Linked DNA regions of Arabidopsis thaliana. The protein of the gene in region 2 interacts with the protein of the main gene of each other region in a pairwise test. Each region holds a gene or a part of one and is shown on either strand. Other genes may lie near its edges. The genes, in order: RIP1 and AT5G04840.

Region 1 (5,031 bases), on a different chromosome or scaffold from region 2:
CTCGATAATCTTCCTCGCGTCTTGCGGCGACAATCGAGTTGGACCAATGGTTCCGCCACCGTTGGTATTGAGTCCGTTACCGTTCTCATCGAGCTTACGCTTCTTCATCATATCCATGGTTACAGATTTATCTCTGGAGTTATTCTTTCACCGGTAAATCCCTAATCCTTCTAGTCCAGCCGTAGAGAAAGCGAATCTGACACGAAAAAAAAGAGGGGAAAATATGTGACGGCGGAAAAACATATGAGGGAAGCGAGGGCTTTATACGGTTACGAGATTTTCCATTTTGGGCTGAAATTTAGAATGATGGGCCGGGATAAAGAACACAAAGCCCATCTTGTTACTTCACACCCGCTTCTCTCTCTCATCATCAAATTGTGTGTTCTGTCAAGTTTGTCGAAAGAAATATGATATTGATGACATTTGTCATTCTTCCTGTTATAATATGAGTATCCCATTCCCATGTAAACATGATTGGGGAATTAGAAATTAAGACTAGGAAGAAGCCAAAGAAAGACACAAAACAATAGCCTGTGGGAGACATGTTACTAAATCCCGTTTAATGCAGAACCAGGAGTGGACATAAGAGTAGCAAGCATCACAAGGAAGAACTTGAGATCGATTTAGGATATAAACTACTAAAAAGAAACGCAAGAGTGAAAAGTTCTAACCATGCCACAGTAACTTAGGCTATTCTCTCTCACATAATCCCAGACTGATAAACACTCGAGATAAAAGGAGTTTTAAAGTCTTGCTACTGCACTCTCTCTTCCTCAAATTATCTATACACAGCCCAGAATGCATGATTAAAAAGGAAACCCACGACTGCTTCAACTGCTTTAACCCTGGTAGGGGTTGCCACTGCCATCCCGGTTAGGTGGGTAGTTGTTCTGGTACTGTGGCTGCTGCATTCCACTACCCTGCTGCTGGTAGTTGTTGTTCTGTGGGGGTGCTCCTCCGTATTGAGGTGGTGGTACTGCTCCATATTGAGGTGGTGGTCCTCCTCCATAGTTTGGTGGTGGTGCTCCTCCCATGTTGTTTGCTGGTGGTGCTCCTCCATAGTTGGGAGGTGGTGTTCCTCCATAGTTCTGAGGTGGCCTCGGTCCTCCCATGTTGTTTTGCGGTGGTGCTCCATAAGGTGGTGGATGCCTTGGTCCTCCCATGTTGTTTGGTGGTGGTGGTCCATAGTTCTGCCCCATGTGAGGTGGAGGAGGTGCAGAGCCACCCATATGAGGCGGAGGAGGTGCAGAGCCACCGATGTGCGGAGGAGGAGGAGGGCCTCCCATGGGAGGACGTTGAGGAGGAGGGCCTCCTGCCATGTTCTCTCTTCTCCTCTCAAAGTTTCTGCTTCTATCATTGTTGCGAGGACGGTCATTGCGTCTGTTCCTTTCATTTGCTCTAGCATTGTTCCTTATCCACTCCTCGTGGTACTTAGGATCATAAGGAACAGCCTTCCCATCGATGAAAGGTTCCCCTGAAAGTCAATATATACAAAAACGCATCAAACTAACTCTCTAATAGGATCACCAGAAAGATTTAAACTCTCACCAAAGCAACATCACTGCGACTTCTACAACACCAGTCTCACAATAGATATCACTAAATCAAATCTAACAGATGCACCCACAATGTTAATTAACTATAAATAGAAGTCGCCCCATGTGTCAATCTAACACAAAAGCATGGAGCAAGTAACGAGTCCACAGAGCGAAGACTAGCAACAGGTAGTTTCCCTTGAAAATTTCAAACCCAGCAAAAGTATAATGGACGAGCAAAGCAACTACCCCAATTTCAAACCCAGGTTATGATACAGATAATACACTTAAGCCTACCTCCATAGTCTTTGTTCCTCACATCCAGGTAAGAGTCAGGAAGAACCCAGCGCACATTTGACAACTCTGGAGAGTTACAGAAGAAAGTTAGAAGGCAGATTATAACACAGAAATGAGGAAAACTAAAACCCAACAAAGGCAAGAGTTAACCTTTTAACTTGTGAGAAAGATCTTCTGACACAAGTGCCCCAAAAGCATAGTAGCACCTAGTTGAAACCGAGTAGATCTTCATCCTAGCTTCGTCTTCACTGAAATGTCCAAAACGAGATATATCATGTTACAGCTCCAAAAATGATCTAAGTAAACACACAGATCCGTCATACACAGTAGTGGATTTCTCACTTATTTAACCTAAAATCCCTAGAAGAACATACACAGAGAGAGAGAGAGAGAGAGAGAGTTTTGAATTGGGGATTTACCTGCCAACAATCTGAGCTAGGGTTTTGATGTAGCTATCAATGATTTCATCTCTAGTAGGCTCACCCTGAGGTGGCTCCACGACGACAAGCCAGTGCTCGAAATCGCAACCATCGAGCAGGATCGTCTCCTTAGGTGGCCTGTTCGACCAGTTGGGATTCGGGTCGTTCAGAGAAGACGATGTAGCCTGCGTCGAGAGACCTTTGACAGACACAAGGCCGCCACGGAAAACGGAGGAAAAAGCGGCGACCAGAGGACGGGACCGGCTGAGCAGAGAAGACGCCGGAGATTTGGCGAGAGGAGCAGATGAAGCAAAGGATCGCGTGAACAGAAACGAAAGAGATTTCGCCGGTCGGCAAAGAATGGATCGAGAAATGGTATGCGTCGCCATGGAAGCTCTAGATTGGGCTTCGCAGATAAAACCCTAGGAGAGAGTGTGAAAACAGATGAGCTAGAAATGAAATCAAGGGTTTTATGAGGGTTTAATAGTAGATTATGAGTCGAGGGCATTTTAGGTATTTCATAACTGAACTGGACAGCGAAATCTACGGTACTACCCCCTGATCTTATCAGATTCAACAAAATTGCCCCTATTTTACCTTAAGTTACAAATAAACACATTTTCGCCAAGAAATTAGTGACATTACTCTGTTTTCAAATGATAAAAAAGCTATTTTTATACAAGAAGAGAAGACTGAAGATTTTATTTTCACTAAATTGGTAATAATCATATTATTAAATGGTTTACAAATATGAAATATTCCAAAGCTAAACATAGGGGCAAATTCGTATTTTAGAGTTATTGTAAGGTCAATTTGGTGAAAATGTGTGACTAAAATATCTTTCTCCATAAAATAATTTTTTTCTCCAGCACACCCTCTAGCTCTTGCAGAGGTTTAAAGAAAATATCGGCAACATACATAGAAAAATCTCGTTTATTCATTTATAAAGGCATAAAGTTACACACCAATCACTAAGCCAAGCTCATATGTCATATATCATAAAGTAAGTAATTACTAATGGAGAGAGATAACTAAAAGGCAAAGCCTTCTTTTTATTCAAGCCACTCTCATACTTTCATTGTTTGAAATCACACAAGTGTTGCCTTTCCGAGCTGAAGAGCTTTCTCTCGCCCGTAAAACTTTTCGACAATGGCAAGTGAAAACTCCATTGCAGTCCCTGGAGCTCTGCTTGTTATGACATTTCCATCTACCACGACTCTGTGCTCAATGTGACTCTTGTCCGAAAGTTTGTCGCTCACCACTGGGTGAGTAGTAGCCTTCTTACCCTATACAAAACATGTCTCTTATATCTCAGTTTAATGACTTAAAAGATAGAACAAGAAACTACAATTCTAGTACTGTTTGATTTATGCACCTTGAGTAAACCATTAGGCTCGAAGACGTAAGCAGGCGATGCGCAGATTCCTCCATATGGTTTGTTTGCTTCTGCCTGTTTCCTTAACATATTAACTAGCTTCTCGCAGCTTGCGAATCTTTGAGCACCGTTAAGACCGCCCTGTAGTTCATCAAAGAAGTTGGATTATGTTTTTGGTTATTTGTCATCATAGAATATTAAAATTTAATTTAAGACTAAATAGTATATTCACATTTTGGAAGTTAGCAATACTCACAGGTAACACAATCAGATCAAACGACTTCTCTGCAACCTCATCAAGAAGAACTTCTGCTACTAGCTTAGCTTTGCGAGATCCTTCAACTTCCAAACTGTTACCAACTGCAGCAATCACTACATTTGCTTTTGCCCGCCTCAGGATATCTACAAGCGCTATAGCTTCAATTTCCTCTGACTCCTCTGCAATGGGTACGAGAATCTGAAAAGGGAAAACATTATCTCTCTGACTCATAAAAGACTATTGATCAAGAAAGACAAAAGCTTTACAACACAGCATGTTCCTAGGAATCTGTATAACGGATCAAACAAAGCCTGTCTTGGAAAAATGTTAAAAGGGCCAAGTGGAGAGGCAACTGAACATTTACCTGTGGTGTATCTTCAAATGACCAGTTTGTTTGGTTAAGCTCAGTAAAAGTAAACTCCTCACCAGGGTTAGGACGAAGCAGCTGATTTCAAAAGGATAACAAGTAAGTCTACGAGGAGGTGACATGAACACGTACCACAGCGGTTGATAAAAGAGGCAGAGACAAAACATACCAAGATACTGGAGACTTCATCAGCTTTTTCTTTCCCAAACAACTGCTCTATAAGCGTGATGGAGAATTCAATGGTGGTTCCTGGTCCACGACTGGTCACTATTCTTCCATCAATTTGCACTCTTGACTCAACAGCAGTTGCACAAGTAGCCGCAAGTTTCTCCATAAAAACAGGGTAACCCGTTGCCTGCAAGAAACCCCATGTAATAACAAGACATTACAAGGCCTGAAAAAAAGATAAATAAACGCCCTTGGAAATATACTGATCACTTCTGACTTACTTTCTTGCCTTCTAGTAGACCCCAAGTACCAAGAGCCAAGGCAGGAGCACAACATATAGCTGCGTTAAGTCGGCCATCAGAGTCTTGTTTCTTGACCATGTTCTCTAAAGATTTACAGTTTTTAAGAGTCTCGCCACCGGGAAGCCCTCCCTTTTCCCAATCATATCAAAAAGTATATCAGCAACACAATTATGAAATCTTTCAGAAAACAAGAATCTATGAAGTTGTTTCAGAGAACAAAAGTTGCAACAGATACATCTAAAAACCATCGTTCTTAGTAGGAACTATAAACATCACTTTCGAAACTTTAGTTAAGTGAGCTAATTGATA
Region 2 (5,164 bases):
GGTCTAGTCTTTATTCACACAAATTGCTTGATTACTAAATGAGTGATGATGGCTTTTTGCATATTTTTCTTACTCAATAACTACCGAATATTACACACTCTGGACTTGGAACTTATTTTATATGTCTGCTGAGAGATTTTTATGATGGTGTAATGATGAACAGGCTGAAGATGAATGGGGATTACCAGCGGTACCACGTGCATCACTTCGGGGCTAAATCCCATTTACACACCTCTTTGTGTGCATAAATATTCATCTCCAGCGACTATGCTTTTAAAGTCTTGTTACTGTATGTAATAAGTTTTTTGCTTAGCAGTTTCATTAACCTTGAATCCTCAGATTTGGTCTGTATTATATTATTTTATAAGGAAATCTAATCGGGAGTCTACAGCATCGCATTCTAAATGATGTGTAAGATATGTTGCTGAGAAGTGAAGTTTTTGAGTTTCTTGAGAAGTTGAACATGAAACATGAAGCCCAAATTATTTGTTATAGTAATACTCAAATGCATACATTTTAGTGATATTAGATCCCAACGTTCATCAAATTAATAGCTTTTTAGAACACCAGAAATAGAAGAATACTCTCAGTCAAAGCCACCACAATTACTCAATGAGCTACAAAATAGGAACCCTTAAAATGTCTCCAATATCAGAGCATTTTAGCTAAAAAAGACTACATCCCAAGACAGTGGGATACTTTATACTCCTAAATCATATTTATACAAATCGACAAAGATTTGTTCATTTTCCGAACATAGAACTGTTAACTCTTGAATTCCTTAAGCTACTTATTCTTATGGAGGGTTTTGTCTTTAGTTGAGATTGAGTTTGGTCAGATCTAGCAAATTCCAGTCCAAGTGGGACGAAGCTGTCCTTGGAGCTACATTTGAACCAGCAGAATATGACCTCACCAGCCTGTTACTGTTGTTAGTGCTCCCTAAGTATCCCAATCCAGATTTCAATCTCTGAGCTTCCTTCTTCAGTAACTGATACTCACCTACAGAAAATATTTCGGAACAAGCATCAGTGGATCGATCACAAGCTGTAATTCAGACTCCTTGAATGTGTGGTTTATGTCATGTTTTTATTTACCTTCCCTTATGAGCTTGTCCTGCTTTAGTATCGCCATCTGCTGCTTCAACTGGCTATTCTCCAGGGACAGTGTTGCTCGTGTCTGAAGAAGTGAAGCCACTCTCACTGATAAATCTGCTTCCACCGTCTGCAAAACGAGATTGCTATTTGGTTACTACCAAAAACAATGTGCTAGGTTTCTGTATAATGTTTTACTGCTCTGCATCTAACTATGTAGTAACACCAACAACTAGATCATCTTACCACAGAGATCTAACATACAACATTGCATTTTGTACATATAACTGTCCACAGAAAAAATAACGATTGTGTTTTAAGAAAGCGCACAGCTTGAATGGAATCTCTACCTGCAACATGCCTACTGTTCTCTCAAGTTCAGCAATGTACTGGAGCTTACGAACCCTTGAACGCTGTCCCGGGTTCCTGGCAGAGTAAAGATAGAAAAATCAACATATGACACAACAAGATAATGTAAAAGTACCGAATTGGCATTCTAAGAGCACTCTTGTGGACACAGACACATATTTCTGCCAATTTAGTAGTCATAAGAATCCCCACCAACTACAAATCCAAGTGTAAAACAGAGATATGGAACTATTCTTTTCTTCCTTCTCACTGACAAACCAGAAACCGATGTATCTTGATCTAGAATAGACACAGAGGTACCACATAGGAGCTTATGGACTAGACTTGATGCAGCCGAATTAATATTAGCAACATTAGCCGATAAAGAATACTACTCTTAAGGGACCAAAGCTTATCAATTTCTACACAAATAAAGTAATGATGTTAAATAATAATGTCTTAAGAAGATTAATGTTCTCTCACCTTTTTGCATTTGGTATGCCCATTGAACCACACGCATTTTCAGCAACAGGTGAACGGTTGATCCCTTTCACCGTATCATCCAAGTTCTGAGGCGGTGTCTGAGAACCATAATCCGAAAAGGCAGAAGCAATAGGGTTGTTAGAGAAGCTAGAGTTGTTCTTTGCTCTTGGCGAGTTGGGACCATATACACAAGCAGACTCCAAGTCCCCACAAGCTTCAGAACTCAAACTTTCTTCATCCTCACTTTGATCAAAACCAGAAAAAGTAGCAGAAATGTCTCCCAAAAGCACAACTGAGTCGCTAGCTGAGCGGCGCAGAGGACCTCCTCTAGTGAGCAACCCATCAGTTTTGTCACAGAGCAACTCATCAAGCCAAGCAGGTTGATCTTCGAGCCTGGAATCTTGAGTAGAAGACTTGTATTGACCAATGTATGATTCAATGGGTGAGGAAGAAGAGTAGAATGTATCTGCAACTGGACTCAAAGAAAGTTTCTTTGGAATCGGGCAACGAGGTGGAAGCGGAGCAGGCCTTGACATGATTCGAATTTACCTAATAAATCAACAATCCAAAAAAGCTTTCTTAGCTAAAAGTAAACTTCACTTATCATCAACCTTAAGAAGCTATAGCTTCTACGCAATGAAAGCTTCCAGATATTCAATTCTACAGCTCTTAAAGATTGATTTTTATTCTCAGCTAGCAAACACAAACCTCAATCCCAGAAAGAAAGAAAAAAGTATTTTTTTAGTAAAACAAATTTGTGAAATTCCGACAACCATTCTTGTACTAACCCCACAAGACAAAAGAGTGAAAGAAAAACAAAAATCACAAGAAGAAGAACAACATTGAATCAATGGAACAGTTACCCTAAAACCCATTACAAGATTTTAAGAAACGGCAATGAAAAAACTGGAAATTTCAGCAGAGACATTAAAGAGAAGAGAACCCTGAAATCTACAGTGCTTTTGACTCGAATAATGAGATACATAAACATCAAACAGACCAAAGCATTCAACTTGTCAATCGTCAGTTGCTTGTTTACCTCCAGGGAAAAAGAAAACAAATTTTCGCCGGCGAAGATAGTAACGGAGGAGCAATGCGGAGTAAAAAGAGAGCAAAAACGCAGAGTGTAGGAGAAGAAGAAAATAAGCGATCGTCTCTTTCTCTTTCACTAGTTGCAACAAAAAAGAAAAGGAGAAGAATTTATTCTGTTGCTTGCTTTATCTCTCTCTCTTTCTCACAGCTGCGTATAAATGTATAACGCAGAATTGAATTGTGTATTTGAAAGCCCCAATTGGCTGGAGGAGGAGGCGTACGGACGGCTCTTTTGGGCCCTTTGAGTTTTTTTTTTTTTTATTATTTGGTCAAGCAAAGGGTTCACTGACCCATCTCCATCCGTACTTTTTTGTTATAAAATTTTTAAAAAAAATTGTTTATATTTGTGTTGTCACATTGATTAAGATATTTGATCTGATTGTGGCATTTACATTTATTAGTCTAGAACGTTCGGGAAGAATTTATTGTAAAGAAGTGAGTCTTTTAAGTGTCTTTTTAAAATGTGATTTGTGATGGTGGAGAAGAAGTGGTGGAATTTATATATTTGGGGTCATCAAAATGTTGAATAGTTAAAAAGTAATGATCTAACTAACTTCGCTTAACACATATTTGTTAGTAACGTTTTGCGTATTGATTACCAAAGTGGCGATGTATCTTTAAATAGTTGTTAACCAAGAGATTTTTAATTCAATCAAGGGCCTCGTTTTGGCCTTTTTTTTTTTTTGTTTCGGGTCAAAGATTTAAGTTTAACCAAATAGAGTTGACCAATAAAACAGCTGTTATCAGAGAACCAAATAATAATAAATAGAGAAAAACAGCTGTTCTGCTTCTCCAAACGTTTAGTGTTATAATATTTATTAGTACTTTGTGTCGTTTACGCAAAGTTGAGATTTTTTGTATTCTCATTTGTAGTATTAAATTATTATTATAGCATGAAATAATGAAAAAAACATTATTCTTTCTGTTCGTTATTATTCCAAATTTTAAGTTTTGTTACACCTATTAAAAATAGATTATAAATTTATTCCTTTTGTGATTAATAATTTTTTACAACTTTAAACCAATAATTTTGTAGTTATTTATTTTTGAAATCTACAATTCATCATTAATAACTACTTAAAAATACATAGAAGACTTCAAAATTATATCTTTTGCAACATTTTTTCCATTCAAGAATTTAGATTAATAAACAAAAGAGGGAGTATATATTAACAGAGTAATGGTACTAATGATTAGCATTGGAATGTTAAGACAAAAATACATGTCAAAGTCAAACAAAAATTTTAAGCTTCAAAATGAAGGTAACTAAAATGGTTCGGAAAAAGAATAGTCACCTACCGTATATTTTGTTTGAAGATCTGAAATCTAATTATTCCTCATCTTTGCTTTAAATTTTTGTGATACATAAATTAAATAGCACGAATCACATTTTCAACTTTGTAATATTTTTCACTCATACTAATAATTAAAAGGGACTAGGAAAAATAAAGGCACATTTTCTCCGTTGGAATAATCAACGGTTACGTATGGAGAAGATTGTGTCACGTGGAAGCTAATCCACCACGATCCAGTTTCATCTCTATTAACAAAGATCACTCCTTCCCTCGCTTCAATTTTAGTTTCTATTGTTGTTCATCTCTCAATCGTCTCTTTCGATATTTTCTCAGGAAAATCTTTACAACATCCGTGGAGAAGCAACACCAGAATCCGAATTCAGGTTCGTTTCCTTGTACGATCTGATTATTGTTGGTTTGTGGATGAGAGAGGCTCTTCATCTTCTTCTTCGATTTTCTGGTGATGTGAAAATGAAACAGCGATGGATCCAGCGCGGGAATGCGAAGGCAAAGGAGCTTGCGAATTGAAATCGAACAAGCGATTTGCTGATAAAATCATGCCTCATCTTCTCAACTTGTGAGCCTTCTTGTTTGATTTTTCTAAAAATTGAGGTTCTTCGTGAAATTTAGTACTGTGGCCTTATTGATTATCCACTTGGTTTGTTCTGTCCGATTTAGGTCCGGTTTAGATACTGCTTTATCTAGGACAAATAGGTTTAGATTCAATCTGGTTCAGTTTTTTGGAATATGTTTTGTTCATTTTGGTTTCTTTCGATTTGGTTTTGGTTATTTGCCTAACCGTAGATCATGGTGAATCCATCCGCAGTGATTGACGAAATTGGTGTCAATTGTGTG

The links.
Region 1: the proteins of AT5G04840 (region 2) and RIP1 interact in a two-hybrid assay, tested with the Arabidopsis thaliana proteins (one large-scale study listed by BioGRID).

Annotation. Positions count from the first base shown.
Region 1 is NC_003074.8:5,047,930-5,052,960, reverse strand, and holds RIP1 (cobalt ion binding protein), read right to left. Parts: upstream 2,767-5,031; 5' UTR 2,641-2,766; coding exon 2,252-2,640; intron 2,081-2,251; coding exon 1,983-2,080; intron 1,899-1,982; coding exon 1,833-1,898; intron 1,475-1,832; coding exon 840-1,474; 3' UTR 506-839; downstream 1-505. Other genes in the region: AT3G15010 (RNA-binding (RRM/RBD/RNP motifs) family protein), read right to left, coding at 1-117; DJ1A (Class I glutamine amidotransferase-like superfamily protein), read right to left, coding at 3,340-3,537, 3,627-3,767, 3,883-4,083, 4,250-4,330, 4,422-4,607, 4,702-4,851. UniProt on the Arabidopsis thaliana protein: Involved in organellar RNA editing. Required for the processing of numerous RNA editing sites in mitochondria and plastids. Binds to the plastid RARE1 factor, a pentatricopeptide repeat-containing protein involved in RNA editing.
Region 2 is NC_003076.8:1,403,299-1,408,462, reverse strand, and holds AT5G04840 (bZIP protein), read right to left. Parts: upstream 3,283-5,164; 5' UTR 2,962-3,282; intron 2,472-2,961; 5' UTR 2,459-2,471; coding exon 1,923-2,458; intron 1,518-1,922; coding exon 1,442-1,517; intron 1,222-1,441; coding exon 1,095-1,221; coding exon of another isoform or gene 1,087-1,094; exon of another isoform or gene 1,000-1,086; coding exon 815-999; 3' UTR 501-814; downstream 1-500. Other genes in the region: VPS60.2 (SNF7 family protein), read left to right, coding at 164-217; AT5G04830 (Nuclear transport factor 2 (NTF2) family protein), read left to right, coding at 4,792-4,886.